4 linked regions of the Coturnix japonica genome follow. The protein of the gene in region 1 interacts with the protein of each later gene in a biochemical or structural test. Links are inferred from orthologs where the notes say so. Each region holds a gene or a part of one and is shown in the gene's direction. Other genes may lie near its edges.

Region 1 (4,668 bases):
TTCATGAAGCCTTATACTTGAGAAACCCTCAGCTGTGCTCTGTGGAGCAAACTTGAACTTTGATACGCAGGGGAAAATCTTTAAGAGTGTAAAGCCTTAAGTGTCTCTGCCAGCATTTTGATGACTACTTATGCATGTTTTGTAGCTCTGGTGTCAAAAAGGCTCGCTTCTCTTTAAGACACTTGTGATTAATAAAGAAAAACTTGAACTCATTCCCCATGGTATTTTTTGCACAAAGCTGCGTGGCCTGGAAGCAGTGATATTTTGTGTGGAATTTGTCTCACTGAATGATTGCATTTTAATAGACCTTCTGCACAAGCGCTACAGGAAAGCAGCTATTTGTTATGCTGCGCTGTGTATTTGCGTCAGGTAACATTTCACTGACTCTGTGCCAAAAGTATGAGGTCTGCTCCTTTTCTATCAGACAGCTTTTCAGAGAAGCCTGGAGTTAAACTGTGCTTAACTTGGAGCTGCTTCACCATAGTAATTTGTCTTGTCATTGCTAAGGTTAAATTGTCTACGCTGCTGCTAATGATAATGAAAGAAGGTAGCAGTCGAGTTAATTTGGGACCTGCAGTGGGCTTGGAGAATCCAAGGCATTAATGTGACCTTGTGTGACTCAAGGCAGTTCAACCAGGTCCAGAGCTTCAACCGGCTCAGTCCTGCCTGGAAAATGCTGAGGAAATGTAAATGCACATCTCTAATAGGGCAATTTCCCTATTTGGCAGACTTGTAAGGGGTGTTTCAGATACTACTGCTGCAGGGGTGGGAAAGACTGGATGTGTTGGAGTGAATGTCTTGATGCACTGAAGTGCAAAATGATGTCTGAAAGAATGCAGAGAGGTTATCAGCACAGTGAGGCCTTTGGCTAGTGCCCTGCTGGGCTGTGGGTGGGAGATGGCTGCAGCAGCAGATGTTGTGGCCAGGCTGAGACCTGCTGTGCTCATTGCAGCCTGAGCAGCATGTTGAGGTGTCTCACAGCTCAGAGAGGTATTACAGAAGGGAGATCTGTTATGCATGGCATCAGGGTGCAGAGCTGCACCTGCTGGTGCTGCAGGTATCTCTATGGGGAGCAGCACTGCTGATTGCACTGTGCCAGGTCCAGAAGAAGGGTACCAGATCATGGGATGCTATGTGTTCTCCTTGCCCTGTAGGGTGCAGGCAGGGACAGTGGCTGTATGTGTGTGGGACAGGGATGTGTGTGATGTAGTGACAGCTGTGCTGTGCTGGGACCGGGGCAAGCATCCCTGCTGGGTGACAGTGCCACAGCTGGATCCTGGAGATGAGGGAGGCCTCATTTCTGAGCCCTGATGTGGGAGATCTGGGGCTAGGCCTGCTATTCCTTCCCCTCCAGGCTGAGGGGCTCTTTCCTTCCCTGTGGGCTGTCTCCTTGCCCTGAGCCAACAGAGCTCCTTCTGGGCTCTGGCTGAGGCACCGGGTGGGAGCTGCAGGCATCCGCATCTCCAGCAGGCTCGTGTGAGCAATGTGCCTTTAAGACTAGCAGGAGAGCAATAGTATCCCCCTCCCTCCTGTTAATTGTAGCATGTTTTTCAGCCATGCTTTCCAGTCACATTCGCAGCTTGTGAGAGAGAGGGAGCAGCGCTGAAGCTCCCCGGCTGAGCGCTGTTTGTGCCGGCAGGACAGTGTGTGCTTGCCCACGCTGTGGGCGCCTGCGGCTGATGGACGACGGAGCTGTGTGCTGGGGGCAGGAGCCCCGTGTGCCCCAGTGTCAGTGACACCGCTGTATCCCTCACCTCCTCACCTTGTCTTTGGCTGTGTCCTCTGACGTTCTGGCCCCTCCGGGAGCTGTGTGTTCTGCCGGTGCTGGGGTGATGCGGTGGGAGCTGTGCGGTGCCTGCCAGGGGATGCTGTGGGCTTCCGTGGGATTGCTTGGCTCCCAAAGTGACTGCAAGTAACTCCAGGTTAGGACTGCTTCTCGGAGGATGTCCTGTGCATTTCCACCTGTTTCCCTCCAGCCTCGCTACGGAGTATTTGGAGTATTTTGTTTGCCCCTGCCAGTGGAGGACAGAGTCGGAGGCCTCCAGAGGGTTAAGAGCATCTGCCTTTACGCTAAGTGTTCAAGCAGGAAATAATCTGCAGAGATACATGTGCAGCAATTCAACTGCTGCTGCTTTCCCAGGCTGCCGCCGCCACTGCTGCTCGGTGTGTGTCAGGAGCTGCGCTGCTTGCAGAAGATGCTTTCTTGGTGTGTCCGAGGTGCTGGGCATGGCAGCAGAGCCCCTGCTCCTAGGGCTGGGGTGAATATCTCCATCCATGAGGAATTATGTTGACCTGCAGGCTCTGCTGGCTCAGTGAGGTAGGTGCTGCTCCCTGTGCAATGCGCCGTGAGCTTTATCTGTGGGATACAGTTCCCTTTTCGTCCTGGGCTATGCTGTCAAAATGCATTTCAGTGGGAAACAGCTTCAGTTTGCAGCCTAAAGCTGGACGGAAATATGTGTCTGTGTTTTTTGTGCTTGCAGCAGGAAGGGAGAGTGTCGGGTATCCTCAGGGATACCTTTCATGCCTGGCAATAAAGTTGTTGCGCTTAATTGGAACAAACTTGCTTTGGTCTGTGAAATGCACCTGGGAGCTCTGCTGCTTCCTGACACGACCTTTGGAAGGGGCTGGCTGCAGCACACGGGGTTATGTTTGGTTCAGGTGCAGGCATACAGTGCACTCTACAGGTCCCTCAATTTTGCTCCTGTGGATGTGGGGAGGATGGTGGACGTCCACATGGAGACAAAGTGTTGCTGGCAGGGAGACAATGTTTTCTGGAGGAGTGAGATTACACCAACAGGGAAAAGGAGGTGCTCTGCACTGAGGGAGAGGGGATTTGAAGGTTCAAAGGGATGATTTTGGTACTTGGAAGCAGAGAAAGAAATGCGTTTTAGGAGTTGTCTGAGTCTGATTTGTGCTTTGCTATCCCAGCTCTGTGAAGAGGAGCTCTGTTCATCTCTGCTAACCGCTTTACTACCTGCAGCGTTCAGTTGAAGCTATTTTAAAATGATTATTATAATTTTTGTACCAATAGCTAAGGAGGAAAATCTGCTAATGCCAACAAATTTCAACATCAGGTTTCCCCAGGCTTGCTAAGGATGGTGCCTTCTTGAGGAGTCTCTCTCAAGACCAGCAGCAGCCCAGGCTGTGCCTCTCTCACCATCAGACCATTCATTCTGCCTTCTCGTGAGACTGCCAGTGTGTGCTTTTCTCTGTAAAGACTGAGCTGAAAGGGAAGTTCTCAGACATTTTCCCCTGGAAAAAGCAGAGTGGTGTGCACTGGGTACTGATTTGATACCAATTTGATACCAGTGTTCATGGCTAACTTGTATGTGTGTGTGTTTGCATGTTGGTTTATGAGCAAGTGATCACAGAGCTTGCCAATGAGACCTGACCATGTGGAATGGGTGGGCACTGCCTGGGTTATGTGCTTATGTCACATGGTGAGAGGCTTGTGCGCATTCCTGGCATTGCAGGTCTATGGAAACAGCACGGCCAATGGTGCCACTGCTGTGAAACTGTTCCAGAAGTGTTTCTGTGGCATTGTAGCAGAACAAATGTGTTATAACTGCACTCTTTGCAGGGGAGAAAGGGCAGGATTGTCATGTTCGCTGTAAATGTTTTAGTCACTGTTGTTATCTTTGGGTTTCCTGACTGAGTTGCCACCTGAGCTGGTAGCTCAGAGCATTTGTTGATGCCTCCTGAACTTCCCAAGACTGTTCTGCCGTGCTCAAATCATCTCTAGCTCATCTCACAGGGAAGGCTCAGGAAATTCTCCCCTTCTTATCAGCAAACTGGGGCCAAATGCAGGAAAGAACATGCTCTTTTTTCAAGAAGAAGATATTTGTGGAGCCTCCTTTGGGATCTGTTGGGAAAGACCTCTGCTGCTCTGCAGGGCCTCTGTGTTGGTGGTGGAGCAGCAGGAGTGGTCTGGTGGCTTTGCTGCTTCTATGACACCAGAAGCCAGAACCCAAGGGATGGAGGCTGCAGTGGTGCTTGGGGAGCAGCTGCTCCACTCTGTCCTGCGAAGGGGTGCTCCTTGCTTCCCAAGAAGGAGGCAGAGCTGGGCAGCAGCGCTCCATAGCAACGCACACATCTCCTGCAAATGGGAGAAAAATCTCCTGGTTTCACTCAGAGGTGGAAATATGAATGTGTGAACACCCAGTGGAGAATCTCAGCAGTGTAGTGCTGGTATAAAGCCATCTGAATGGCTTCTCTATAAAAATGCGTTTATGAAATACGATGAGCATTAAATAACCAAATTACCTCTGCAGGAAACACTAGAGAGATTATATGGGAGTCATCCTACTTATTGCTATTTGCAGCCAGGCAGAATGGTGATTAGAGCTGGCTGAATTAAAGCACAGCGTTTCTCGCAAACATGCTTACAAAATTCAGAACAAATTTGGTGCTTGCTGGCCAGCAGCAGTTTTGGCTGTTCTTGTGCCCCTGTTCCAGCAAGTGCATTTTTCATCAAGTACTTTTGCTAAAGCAACACAGTGTTGGAGCTTGTTCATGTAGGCTGAAGGTGTGAGTGGGAATATGTGCCTCATAGCTGTACTCTCATCTACTTAGGGAACAAAAACACTCCATTTGACCTCCTGATTATTTCTAAACAGTGTTTCTGGTCAGTGACAGTTTTACATTAAACTCTTAATTATATGGGTGTCA
Region 2 (4,286 bases), on another chromosome or scaffold:
TCATTGCATCAGTCGCAATTGCAGCACAAGCCTTTCTGAATGCTGCCTATAATAGTTTGATTTAAATGATGTTGCTTGAGCAGTAGCATAAATGATCCTTCGGTTATTGCCCCACTTCCCCCTGCTCTGTGTGAATGACACAATTTCCTTAGGGCTGGAGCCCCAAAAAGAAGGTATGGAACTAAGGGCAGCTCTACAACAGACCCTTACTGCAGTGTATTGGTGAAAGGGCTGTTTGCATTCATAGGGTATTTTCTATACGTGCTGGAATTTCCAAACCATATTCTAAAGTTTCATACCATGAGCTCTGGTTCAACCACTCGGAATCAACAAATATCCCCTGGAACTGAAATAGCAGCACTAGGACCAGCCCCAATTGGAAGTGCATTAGGGCCCACCTAATTGCTTCCTGACTCACTGATCCTTCATCCTGACCCTTCTTTGATCTTTATTTTTTCCTTTTTCTGGTGCATGAGTGACAAGTGAGAAACGCCATCTGAGGGTGTTAGATGGGATTATTCCTCTATCCCCACAATGACCTTGCGTTATGGGATTCCATCTTAACACTGAAAAAGCATTCAAGTCCTGATTAAGAAGAACTTATTCAGTTCATTTAATTGCAAGTGTTTATTCATTTTTCGCTCTGTAATAAATGTTTTTGTCAGACAACAAACCAACCTCACTGCGTGGATATCTCCTTTCTGCTGGCTCAATCTGGGCTGCTCTTCTCCTCATGTACATGTACAACTCTGACACCACGGGGAATATGGACACTTTTAAAGTACGTTCAGTGTTGTTGTAAACACATGAAGCCAATGTCCATCCTCACTTAATATGGTCTCATTATAAGATATGTGGACTTGTACCAGAGAGTGCCAGATCCCTGATGCTACGGGAATTGGTAAAGTTCCCATAAATTGGTAAAACACACTGAATGCACGTTGTTTTCTTCACAGATCTACACGGGCTCTTCCATGGCAGAAAGCTGAGGGATGAACGGGGCTGGATCAGAGCAGAGCTCTGTGCTGGGTCCGTTTCCTTTAGGCGTGTTCCACAGCCGAACTCAGCGCTGGTTTTTGACTATCAAACCCACGTCCATTCCCAGGAGGTTCTTCCCTTCCACGGGGATGTTCCCAAGCCGAGTCTGTATCCGAAAAACCAACAGGAGATGCAGCCTGGGATGGGGAACGGCAGCAGCGGGATGGGCTCTGACTCCCAGCTCTGCCTGCGGGACACGCGATGTGCACGTGGGCTTTGAAGTGCTTTAGACATAGAAATAAGTGCATAGACATAGTGAGCAATAAGTTCATAGACATAGTGAGCAATAGGTGCTATGGACACAGTGAGCACTAAGCGCTATGGACACACTGAACCTCTCACCTTGCCTCCTCCCCCCGCCCCTCCGTTAGGTACCGGCCCCGGGCCGCTCCGTGCGCTGATTGGGCGGCAGCCGGGCCCGGTCACGTGGGAGAGGGGGGGTGCTCTCCCCCCAGCCTCCAGGCCGCCATTTTGGCTGGAAAGTTTGGAATTCCCGAGCGCTGAGCCGGGCGGTGGTTGTGCTGCTGCTGCTGGTTGTGGTGGCGGCTCGCCCTGCCCTGCCCGGCTACTATCAGCCGCCCCACCGCTGGTCCCGACCCGTCCCTCTCCTCGCTGAGCCGCCCCGGAGGGTCGCTGTGCGGGGCGGTCCCCCCCGCTCCCGGCCGGCAGGGGGTGCGCGCCGCCGCCGCCCCGAGCCGGGTCGGGCTCCAAGTTGAGGCGGCGGAGCGGCCATGCCCGTCAGGAAACAAGGTGAGCGGGGTCCCGGACAAAGGAGCCGCGTGGGGCGGTCCCGGGGGGTGGTCGTGGGGCACCGTGTCCCACCTGTGTAGTGCTCACAGAGTCTCGTGTTCGGCCGTAGATACGCAGCGCGCCCTGCGCCTCCTGCAGGAGTATCGCTCCAAACTGAGCCAGGCGGAGGATCGGCAGCTGCGGAACTCCATCGAGAGGGTCATCGGCATCTTCCAGAGCAACCTCTTCCAGGCGCTGATCGGTGAGCGATGCCCCTCCTCTAGGGTCGGGCTCTTGTGTGTTGGTGGTGAGGGGAAGCGAGTTGTTGTGTTGTCGGAGCCCTCGTGTCCCTCAGTGCTGTGTGTGTATCACGCTGACACGTTGCTGTTGCAATGAGCTGTTTTCTGTCACTTACTTTGTATGAGTTTTCTGCCCTGGCGCTGCAACGTGTCTGTTGTGGGCTGTGCCGTGCAGTCGGGTTTTCCACGTCTGTTTCTGTGGGTTTAAACAATTTATTAGGAATATGTTTTAGTTGTGAGCCCACGTGTCCACAATGAGTGAGCTGAAGTGGTTTTACTCTTAGAACTCGGGCAAATCTCCCTGCTGAAGGATCCCTAAAAATGCTGCAAGTTGTGTATTTCAGGAGCAGAATTAAAGTGAATGGAAGGAAACTTCTCATGTTGCAGGTGGCTGTGCTGACTTTTTCCTCTTCGGTTGTGAAGTGCAGTGAGAACCTCACTCATTCCCAGCTTCAGAGCACTTCTGGTGCTTTTTCTCTTTAGCCATTAATGTAAATATTGCTGAAATCATTCCGTGAAGCCTTGAATTTCCTGCACATCTCTTAGAAAACAAACAGAGCAAAATAAACACGTGGGGTATGAGCACAACTTGCAGAATCCTGACCTGACTTTGCAGCTTCTCCAGGGAGGCAGGGAGCTGTGGTTTCTTCCTGATTGGTTGTCACTGCGTATGTAACAGCTTGGAGTTTCATGCCCTTCCCTTTTAACAAAGTAACTTGCACATAAACTTTGTTTTAACATTGTAGACAGTCTGGGTTTCAGCTGTTACTTCGCAGTTACATGGTTTGAAGCCTATCTCACAAGTTTACATCTTCATAGTGCTGTGTCTTTGTGTTGTGGTGGAAACATGAGGAGGGTTGAAACATCGCTGCACATGAACTGCTTTCTCTTGGAGCATTTGTATCATCTGCAGGTGGGTTTTCAGAAGTTGGGCATCTTATGGAACATCTCCTGTATTATGTTCCTGATAGATGGTTGTTCAAATGGGTCTGTTCTCATAGGACACCTCTAGAAAGGGTTCACTTGCAGGAGCTCAGTTGATGCTCAGCAGCTCCGTGATGAGGATCTGCGCGCCTCTGTGTGATGTGTGTGAACAGACTTTGTTCTTTGCTGAATGAAATCATTGAAGTTGTGTATCGGAAGCTTAATACTGTGGTTATGCTTCTTATTTTCACCTGGGAAATCTCGCTCTTAGTTATTAATTGAATGAGATACAAGTCAGTAGTACGGAAATGGCCTTTGGTATTGTAACCTGTAAGACACACTTTATTCTAAAATCTGTAACAAGAGCCAGGTTGTCTGTGTAACTTAGCTCTTGGCAGTAGCACTCTTCAATTGGGGTTGCCACGTGCCTGCTGGAGGGCTTCATGCCTTGTTTTCTGATCTGTCAGAAGTTCTGTTGTAGCCGTGGGGTCTTTGATTCTGTCCGGTTCAGTTGATCTCAGCGTGCACAAATAGGTGTTGTGCTATTTGAGAGCATTTCACATTCATTTTGCATTTAGTGGTTAACTGTGTGATTGTATGTTAAGGAGCGTGCTTTAGTGCTCCAAGCTGTTCCTCTGAAATGTGATAGCAGAGAGTCACTTCCCAGCAATTGATGCTGTAACTTCAGTATTCTTCCTTTAACCTGCTCCATGGAAATGAGTTGGAGAAGTACTTGCTCATGGCAGGCTGCTCCTGGCAACATCTTTATACACTGGGACTACTGCTTGGTGCCCCCTGGGAGGGGGTCAGCTCCCTGCAGGGAGTAGGGGGCTGCCAGGAAAAGGTGCTGTGAGAGATGGCTGTGTTGGCTGAGAAGCCCTTGAGCACTAACTGCCCTCCTCCTACCTGTCCTCTTGCAGTGGAGGCTTGTGAACAGGCTGGACAAAGCTGTGCTGCTGGTTGGGCTTCCCTTGAATATTGCACTTGTAATTATCTTGTAGCTGATTTTTCAGGTGTGACTTTTATAGGAATTGTGCTGTGTCTCCAACTTAAACATCCACAGCTGCACTGACAGAAGCTTCCGTCCAAGCTCACATACTTTCCTTTAATTCCTTCAACAGATTTTAGTTCAGAAATCTTGCAAAATTGACCTGTTTCTTACATACAACAGTCTGCTTTAAAATGACTTGAATTAGGGCAGTGGCGACTCGGTGTGAGCAGTGTTACAAAATTGACGTTATCACATCAGTGTTATTTCTGTAAGTGAAATAACTGCAGTAATTTTAAGTCAGTAAC
Region 3 (3,906 bases), on another chromosome or scaffold:
TGGAACTGCTGCTGTTCCCAAAGGATGTGAACGGCTTCTTCCTTCCATTTGTTGATTGTTCTGCTGCAAGCTGTTCAGTGCAAGATTTCAGGAGATTAAAGAGATCTTGTACTACTGATGCTAAACATAGGGTTTACTGAGAATACTTATGGATTTACATAACTAAGATAGAGAAATGAACAATCACACCTCTGCTGTCTTTCATTTCACCAAACGTTTTGTGAGCCAAATTCAATGCCAAATGTGTGTTGGGAAATCAAAAGCATTTTTTTCATTCTGTAATTTTTGTACAGATTGCAAGTATGCAGCAAACACAGCAGACTTGGAGTTAGCAATAGCCGGGGTTTCAAATGTGATGCGTATTTGCTTAGATACCTGATCCTCTTAACAAATTGAAAATGCTTCCTAAATAGTGAGGATGAACTTGAGCTCTCATCTGAAGCAATGCGTGCGACTGCAACTGTAATATTCGGGTGCTGTTCCATGAGTGATTTACATCCTGTCTGTGATACAAACACAGCTTTAACTGTGCTGGTGGATGACCAGTTCAAGAAGTTACATCATACCATCTTTAAATGACTCTAGCGGCTGCTATGAGTGTCTGCGAGATATCTAACTGATGCCTTACAGAAGTGGGCAGCATGAACTGTGGGTTGTCTTCTGTCAGTGCACCTCAATTTCGGAGTGTAACAAGATAGACATTGGTCTTGAAGTTTGTGGTGGCTGCTTGTCTATTTAGTGGCATTACAGCAGCACAGAAGATGTTCCACGTGAAAAATGATTCCCTGAAGGTTAATTATGGAAAAGAGGAAGTAATGTATTTAGGACATAATCATGCTCCAGACTTCATCTTCTAGAATGATCTATGCCTTATTTATGCGGTAGATTAATCACTGCTTCTGTCTGCCTTTCTGATAACGAAGATCATAATGTCTACCTGCTTTTCTGAGAGACTGTTCTACTGCTATTCATGGACTTAACGTGATTCAGAAGAATGGTCACTCTAGAAATGTAAGTGAGGAATATTAATCCTTGCTACTCTTGAAGAGCTGCCTGCAGAACGCCGCATAGCTTTGATGCCATGTTTGATGCCCATCTTGCTCGGTACTGGTCTGAAATCAAATTCTTCAGATGAAATTTTGGTTTCACTGATAGTTTTGGTCTTTCAGGACATGTCAAGAAATGAGGAAAAAATGTTGAGTTTGGGGATCTTTACTACAGAACACTCAGCAGAGATCGTGGAGGAATTTGGGTTCTTTTTCCTAGCGCTTTGATACATCAGGCACATTGTAGGTGGAGGAAGTAAGAAAGTATTTTCAAACTGCTATGAGGTTTAATCAAGTTTTTACCATTCCAGCTGCTGTTTGGCATCCAATTAATATAATTACAGACTACTCATGCCCAAGTCAGCCTTTTTTGTAGGGAAAACATTGGGTGTATTTCTGGTAAACTAGTTTTTGAATGTAAAAGGTATGTTAGTTTGCTTGGTGATACTATAGATTGCTTTGACAAAATGATAGCCATACATTACATAAATTACGGAGTTTTATGCATACAAAACAGTGCTACCGCATTAACTTTGTTTAAAAAGCAAAAGCAAACAAAGCCACCAGTAGGATCTTTTCAGGCATTGCTCATAATGAACACTTCATTTTTGTTTTTTTCTGTAGATATCTGCAGAGCAATTGAATTGCTGGAAAAATTACAGAGAAGTGGAGAAGTGCCACCGCAGAAACTACAGGCTTTGCAAAGGGTCCTTCAGAGTGAATTCTGTAATGCTGTAAGGGAGGTAAGTTAACTGTGTAAGCAATTAGCTTGCATTAAAAGTGGTACCTTGAAAAGTGGAAGTGTTAATGCACTGAACTTCAAAAAACTGAATTTGACTTATGGAGCTTTATAGAAGACGGCTTATTTTTTACAAGTTGAGAAGAAAACAGTTTAGGGGTACTATAGGTGTGTTGTATTAAACAGTATCTGATAAACAAATTACTTCTTGGAGGTTATTTGGAGGTTATCTAGCTGCCTTGCTGGCAGGTAGTGCCCTGTTATCCTGTTGGCTGGTAAGAACGGGCAAAGTATAAATTGCCTTTTCTTTTAAGCTAGATTGGCATCATAGCTTTGCACACCTCATCTTCGTTCCTGATGCTCTTTCAGTAATTTGAGATGATTGAATGCATCCTCCTGTTGGTGGCGGTGATGGTGCTACCACTGCTGATAACACCTGCAACAATTTGCAAGATCTGTTTGTGGACGTGGAAGTCCTCTTGATGTTTTCATCTTATGAAGGACTGCGTTTGTTGTGTTAGCTACCACTAACCCAGTTAGCATTAGTATTCTTATGGCCTTTGTGTTTTCAATAGCCTTTATTTTCATTATGTATTCAGTTGGTTGCATCAGGTGAAGGGAAATACAGATTTGATTGTTGGGTGAGCTTTGAAGATCCACCCTTGCATAATTTTTCATGCACCCTTATGGAAAAGTCCAATTAAATCAAATATGAGAAGTTAGTCACCCACATCTGCTGTCAGATGTTGTGGTGAGGTCTGTATACTTACTGAGTGAGAGGATTTGGGTTGAGACCTAGAATGTGTGTGGCTTATCTGAGCAGTAAAGATATTGAGAGAGTTGTTTCTTCATAGTATGGTAGATACTTTACTTGGCACCTTGCAGTGAATCAGGGAGTCATTTGCTAAAGGTGTTTGGTTTGGTTTTTTTCATGTATGCAGTTTTAAGTTGTAACTGATTGTTATGTTACCTAAGCAGAAAAATAACTCTTTTCACCGTGCTTAAGTTGTCTTATCTTTAAAGGTGTACGAACACGTATATGAAACTGTGGATATCAGCAGTAGCCCAGAAGTGAGAGCTAATGCAACAGCGAAGGTAAACGCCAAACTTGAGTAAAATGTGTTAATTTGTTACTTTAGAAGCAGAGGAAAGGTATTTAAAATCCAGAAATGTATTATCTAGATGTTTGGTCAAATAGATAAACATATGAGGTCATTAAAAGGGATAACAAAAGACATTTTTTAAAAGTTTTTTCCACTTATATTGTCTTCGTTGAGTTCTAATTTTTTTTTTAATCCCGATGTTGTTTAAGAAATTGATCTGATTATTCTTAATATTTTAGCACTTTAAGATGAAACTAATTTTTCAGCCTGCTCACTGTGTCAAGCTGAGGAGTTTGTAGTCGTGTAAATAGCAAGATCTTATTTTTTACAGGCCACTGTAGCTGCATTTGCTGCTAGTGAAGGTCATTCGCATCCCAGAGTGGTTGAACTGCCAAAAACCGAAGAAGGTCTTGGATTCAACATCATGGGAGGCAAAGAACAAAATTCTCCCATCTATATCTCCCGAATTATCCCTGGTGGTATAGCTGATAGGCACGGAGGCCTGAAACGTGGAGACCAGCTCCTTTCTGTAAACGGAGTGGTAGGAATTTTTTCACTTTCTATAGCAGTAACTACTTGTCTCCACTTGGGGGCATACGTAGAATATTCGTGGCACAAGCTTGAGGTTGTCTTTCGATCCTAGCAAAACTGCTTCTTATTGTCCTCTCAAGAACATCTTCCTTAGGTTTCTGAACCTAGTTCTGTGCAGTGAGAGTTCTTGGATTATGCTTTGGTTACATTTTTCAACTGGGATGGGTACTATTTATGTCAACGTTTCAAATTCTGAAAAGTTGTATAAATCTGGTAGGTCTTGTTCTGAAATAGTATTGAACTACCATTATGGCTTCCTGTTTTATCCAATTTGATGATGCAGGTTTTAACTTAGTTTTCTGCAGCTTCAAAGGTAAGTAGTAAATTATAATGCATGATGGTAGACTGAGCAGGGGCTCTTTGTCATTATCCCAGTAGGAGCACTACTGCTTAATGAAAGCTGTAGAAAGATGGAAAAACAAGGTGG
Region 4 (4,490 bases), on another chromosome or scaffold:
CAGTCCCCAGGTGCTTCTTTTTCCTGTTTCTTTGACAGCACTCATCCAGCCTTGATAACCCATCTGCTGTGCAGCAGCAAAGCGCTTCCACAGCACAGAGCTCAGCTGGTGTGGCTGTCTTATGGGGATCCAGAGAGCAGAACCCAGACTGAGAAGGGAGAAACTCGGCCAGGAGTGACTGTGTCCCAAAGCAAAACATTTTAAAGTCAACTGGAGGAGTCGGAGACTGCACAGTTTGGGCAGACAACACCATTTCACTACATTTCCTGTATACCAGGGGATGAATCACTCGGTTAAGTACATGGTGCACATCTGAATCTCTTTTATTTCCCTGCCCATCCTCTCCAGTGCATTTGCAGCCTCTGATCTGTTTCAGCAAGGCAGGACCTGCTGCCCCATGCTCTCCTGAGGTGCTGCTGTCAGCCTTGGGGATGCCACTTCAGACCCAAACACGAGCTTTTCTTCTGTTTCAGAAGTGATTCATGTAAATTCACGCAGCTAACAGCGCTCTATAAATAGACGGGTGGGCTTTGACACAGCTCCTGTGTGTGCCAAGAGCTGAAGCTAATAATAGCAGCTCACCCACCACGTCCGGGAGCGGGGATGTTCTGCAGGGGGAGGATGGGATGGGCTCAGCCTTGTGACAGAATCACAGTGAAGATATCACCATCCCACGGGCACTGCAGCACCTCTGTGCCATGATGTGGGGCTGCACACATGGCCTTGCTGCCCAGCAGTGTGGCATGGCACAAGGTTTCCCCCTGTGTGGCACTGCTCTGCTTCCCACTGCTGCTTTGCATAGTGCTGCCAGGGCTGGGGAAGCAAACATATCACATATCCCTGGATGGTGCCATCCTGTGGCACTGGGAGCAGTGTCTCTGCTTTCTGACGTGGCTTACAATGAGAATACAGCCTTAATAATCACCTGTGCTGGAAATAGCATTGGAAAGAAAAAAGACTGCGAGTGGCAAGGGGCAAAGTGACCCCAACTGGCAGCAAAAGGACTGAACCCCCTCTGCTATGGGCACAGCAGCTCAGGGTCTGTGGGATGCACAGAGGACTGGGGGGGGGGAGGGGGGGGTGTGATGGGCGTGGGAGCATCACTGTTAGGCAAACCCAAAAAGTCACTCCAATCGAACTGCAGAATTTGGATTGAAAACTGGAATATCTGAGCTGTGCTTTGCAAGGGAAAAACCTTCAGGGTTTCCTCTGCCGCAATCTCAAGAAATTCCACAGCTGCCTCTGCGTGGGGGGAGCGCTGCTGCCTCCGTGTGGGGGTGGGGAGGGCTGCAGCCCCCTGCTCTGCAATACCCCCCCCACCTCCCCTTGTGCGTGAACGGGATTCAATTCCTTTAAGGCTGCGTTTGCAGAGCCTGGGGCTTGGGGACCTGCAGCCCCACCCCAGGGCTCTGGAGCTGCCCGAAGGGGCACAGGGGATGTACCCAGAGGTATTTTTTATCCCTCATTGCTGCCACTCGGTTGCAGGAGGAAATGCGGATCTGCCAAAGGAAACAAACACCGTTCCTGTTTTCAAGAAGCAGGACAGGGAAAGGAAAGAAAAAAAGCAAGACTGTTCTGAATGCCTCCAAAAATCCTCCCTGCTGCTGTCTGCACCCATCTTTGGGGCACCGACGTCGTCGGACGCCAGTGGGAGAGCTCTTGAGGCTGCCCCCCACCGCCCCCAAGAGCTGCCATTGCTTTTCATCATCGCAGTTTTCCTTAATAAGTCCAGAGTTCGCTTCGAGTCACTTCTGGCTCTGCCTGACAGCGCTGCTCGCTTCCACGACAGCAGTTACTCGTGTACCCCGCAGCACGCCCGAAGCTTTCGTGGCACCCGGTTCTCGGCACGGACACCGCTGCGCCCCGACGTGCCCCGCAGGGTCCCCCTGTGACACAACCGCACCGCGGTGCCCGGAGCCGGGAGGGTCCGAGTGAGGGTGTGCAGAGCTCCCCATGCCCCTCCCGGCGCTCCCCGTCCCATACTCGGGCACGGAGCCCCGCAGCGCGGCGCTGCCCCGACGGGGCGGGCGTGGGCCGGGCCGGGGGCGGTGCGCGGGGCTCGTTGCTCCGCCGGGCGGTGCGCGGGGCAGCGCGGAGCGGAGCTGCCGGAGCGGCGGGGCCGGGCCCGGCATGCGCGGAAGATGGCGGCGGGCAGGCGAGGGGCGCGCAGCGGGCTGCTGGAGCTGCGCGGTCCCGGCGGACAGTGGCTTCGCGTCCTGCTCACCCTGAGCGATGACACCCTGAGCGTCAGCCCCGCCGACGGCCCCGGGCCCGGGGAGCCTCCGCCGGCTCAGCTGAACGGAGGGGAGCAGAGCTCCGGCGTGCCCGAGGCGCTCGCCAACATCAGGCGCACGGTGCGCGTCGTCAAACAGGACGTGGGGGGGCTCGGCATCAGCATCAAAGGTGAGGGGGGGGGAGTACCAGGAGTGGGCGGCGGCGGCGGCAGGTAGGACCTACGCTGCCCTGCTGCGACCGGAGGGCTCCGCCCGCGTGTCCTTGCGTCCTGCGTGACCCCGGTGCGGTGTCCCCTCCTGGCCGCCCCAAACGCAGCGCTCTGCCCCGGTCGGGTGTCCCCCGGTGTCCCCCGCCGCCCCCACCCCCGTCCTGGGGACTTTGCGGGAACTTCGGGCCGGGAACTTCGCGAGGGGGGGTGCGGGGGGCTGCCGCTGTCTGACGTGGCCGCATTGGGCTCAGCCTTCACCGCGCTCCTTGCCGGGCGCTGCTGGGTGGGGCGGTGTGTCGGGTGCGGGTCCCCGTGAGGGGTCCGGGGTGAGCCCTCACCGCTTGTTGGGGCTGTGGGTGCTGCAGCTCGGCAGCGCTTTTGGGAGGTGCAATCCCCCCTTGTAACCAACCCCGGGCTGCGAAGCGCTGCCGGCTCTGCGGCTCTCCCAGGAAAGGAGAAACGTTACTTGCTTCAGCTAAACTTTATTTTTGCAGTGACGTAGGTGGAAACCAAGGAGCCGTGATCCAAACGGGGAGCTGCAGGCGGGCGGGCAGCACTTGGGCTGCCTTGTGCCTCTGCTGCTTTGCAGGGGGGTGACCATGTGCCATTAAACGCAGCCAAACCTTGCTGTCCCTGCAGGGGGTGGGGGCATGGAGGGACGGGTACCCCGCTGCCAGCCAGCTCCTGTCCATGGCCCGTGGGACAGAATCTAAAATGGACCTTCTGGTTAAAGCATTTCAGCTGCATCCTAACCCCAGACAGTACTTCACTTGGGGTTTCTGGTGCTTCATGCAGCCCTGCAGGGTTAGGGTTAGCATCGTTAGGGTTAGGGTTAGGATCCTTCTCCTGCAGGGTCGTGTACCGCATGGTGCTCCGGGCGGTGGTTCCCTCTCCACGCACACAGCCCAGAATGGGTGGTTGCGAGGCGTTGCTTCCAAGCTGGGCTCGGCAGCCAGCAGCAGCCCCCGCGGGGGCCTCTTGACAGCTGATAGCCGGAGGAGCCCTCAGCTCCCGGAGAGGCTCTGCAGAAATCCGAGCGGAGCAATGCTGGCGGCACAGCGGGTGCAGCCCTGGGAGGTGTCACGCTGCCGGTCCCTGCCCGTGGGAGGGGGGTAGGGGGGAGTGAGGGGGTGCCCGGCACACGCTGTCCCAGCGCTGAGCGTGGGCAGCGCCAGGCGGGGCTGCTGGCATCTCCTACAGGTTCAGAACTTAAAGTGCAAATTGATCTCCTTGAGCTGCCCGGAGGCCTTGAGAGTGTCCTGGTGGGCTGAAGAGTGGGGAGCAGCCCGAATGGAGACAGAGAGGAGTGGGGAGCAGGTAGTCCTGCGGCTGAGCTGCTGCTCTGGGGCTCTTTTGCCTCTCCAGCACTCAGCTGCTGCCCCACTGAGACCGTGGGGTCCTGAGAGCAGGGAAGGCTGCTCAGCACACACAGTTAATAATGCAAATAGTGACACAGTTTCCTGCCAGAAGTGATGGGGAGGCGGTCAGGGCGTGTGTTTGTTCAGCAAGGAAATCTGCAGCCACTCGGATGGTTTTTTGAAGCACTTAACATGTGTCTGCCATAAAGCTCTGAGGTATTTGGGCACTGTGTGGGCACTGAGCAGCCCTGTGCCCCTAATTGCTCAGTGTCCCCTCACTGCTTGGTGCCCCTTCTGCCCGCAGGTGGCCGGGAGAACAAGATGCCCATCCTCATCTCCAAGATCTTCAAGGGACTGGCAGCAGACCAGACCGAGGCACTGTATGTGGGAGATGCCATCCTGTCCGTGAATGGCACTGACTTATCCGAAGCCACTCACGACGAGGCGGTGCAGGCACTGAAGAAAACGGGCAAAGAGGTGGTGCTGGAAGGTATGGGGGCAGCGGGGTGCCCTGCTTATGTACACCCTGTGGGTACCTTAATGTCCTCTGCTCCAGGCTCTGAACTTCCATTTCAATCCTCCTCCTCAGCTGGAGCTCTCCCGCCTTCCCCCAATTGTGTCATCTCCAGATTTCTCCTCATTTTTGCTGCTCTCAGCCTTTTTCTGCTGTGGGTTCCTCCTCTCCTGGG

What was found.
Region 2: the proteins of HTR2C (region 1) and DLG1 interact in a test that uses a peptide from one of them, tested with the Homo sapiens proteins (2 studies listed by IntAct, with this or other methods). The link is inferred for Coturnix japonica from reciprocal best matches to the Homo sapiens genes HTR2C and DLG1.
Region 3: the proteins of HTR2C (region 1) and LIN7C form a complex in vitro, tested with the Homo sapiens proteins (2 studies listed by BioGRID and IntAct, with this or other methods). The link is inferred for Coturnix japonica from reciprocal best matches to the Homo sapiens genes HTR2C and LIN7C.
Region 4: the proteins of HTR2C (region 1) and SNTA1 interact in a test that uses a peptide from one of them, tested with the Homo sapiens proteins (2 studies listed by BioGRID and IntAct). The link is inferred for Coturnix japonica from reciprocal best matches to the Homo sapiens genes HTR2C and SNTA1.

What each region holds. Positions count from the first base shown.
Region 1 is NC_029519.1:2,578,368-2,583,035, forward strand, and holds the start of HTR2C (5-hydroxytryptamine receptor 2C), read left to right. Parts: upstream 1-1,560; 5' UTR 1,561-2,317; intron 2,318-4,668. UniProt on the Homo sapiens protein: G-protein coupled receptor for 5-hydroxytryptamine (serotonin).
Region 2 is NC_029524.1:10,829,498-10,833,783, reverse strand, and holds the start of DLG1 (disks large homolog 1), read left to right. Parts: upstream 1-1,486; 5' UTR 1,487-1,769; coding exon 1,770-1,788; intron 1,789-1,860; exon of another isoform or gene 1,861-1,897; coding exon 1,898-2,029; intron 2,030-4,286. UniProt on the Homo sapiens protein: Essential multidomain scaffolding protein required for normal development. Recruits channels, receptors and signaling molecules to discrete plasma membrane domains in polarized cells.
Region 3 is NC_029520.1:3,029,687-3,033,592, reverse strand, and holds part of LIN7C (protein lin-7 homolog C), read left to right. Parts: intron 1-1,670; coding exon 1,671-1,789; intron 1,790-2,808; coding exon 2,809-2,880; intron 2,881-3,219; coding exon 3,220-3,429; intron 3,430-3,906. UniProt on the Homo sapiens protein: Plays a role in establishing and maintaining the asymmetric distribution of channels and receptors at the plasma membrane of polarized cells.
Region 4 is NC_029535.1:2,063,074-2,067,563, forward strand, and holds the start of SNTA1 (alpha-1-syntrophin), read left to right. Parts: upstream 1-1,410; 5' UTR 1,411-2,141; coding exon 2,142-2,403; intron 2,404-4,105; coding exon 4,106-4,291; intron 4,292-4,490. UniProt on the Homo sapiens protein: Adapter protein that binds to and probably organizes the subcellular localization of a variety of membrane proteins. May link various receptors to the actin cytoskeleton and the extracellular matrix via the dystrophin glycoprotein complex.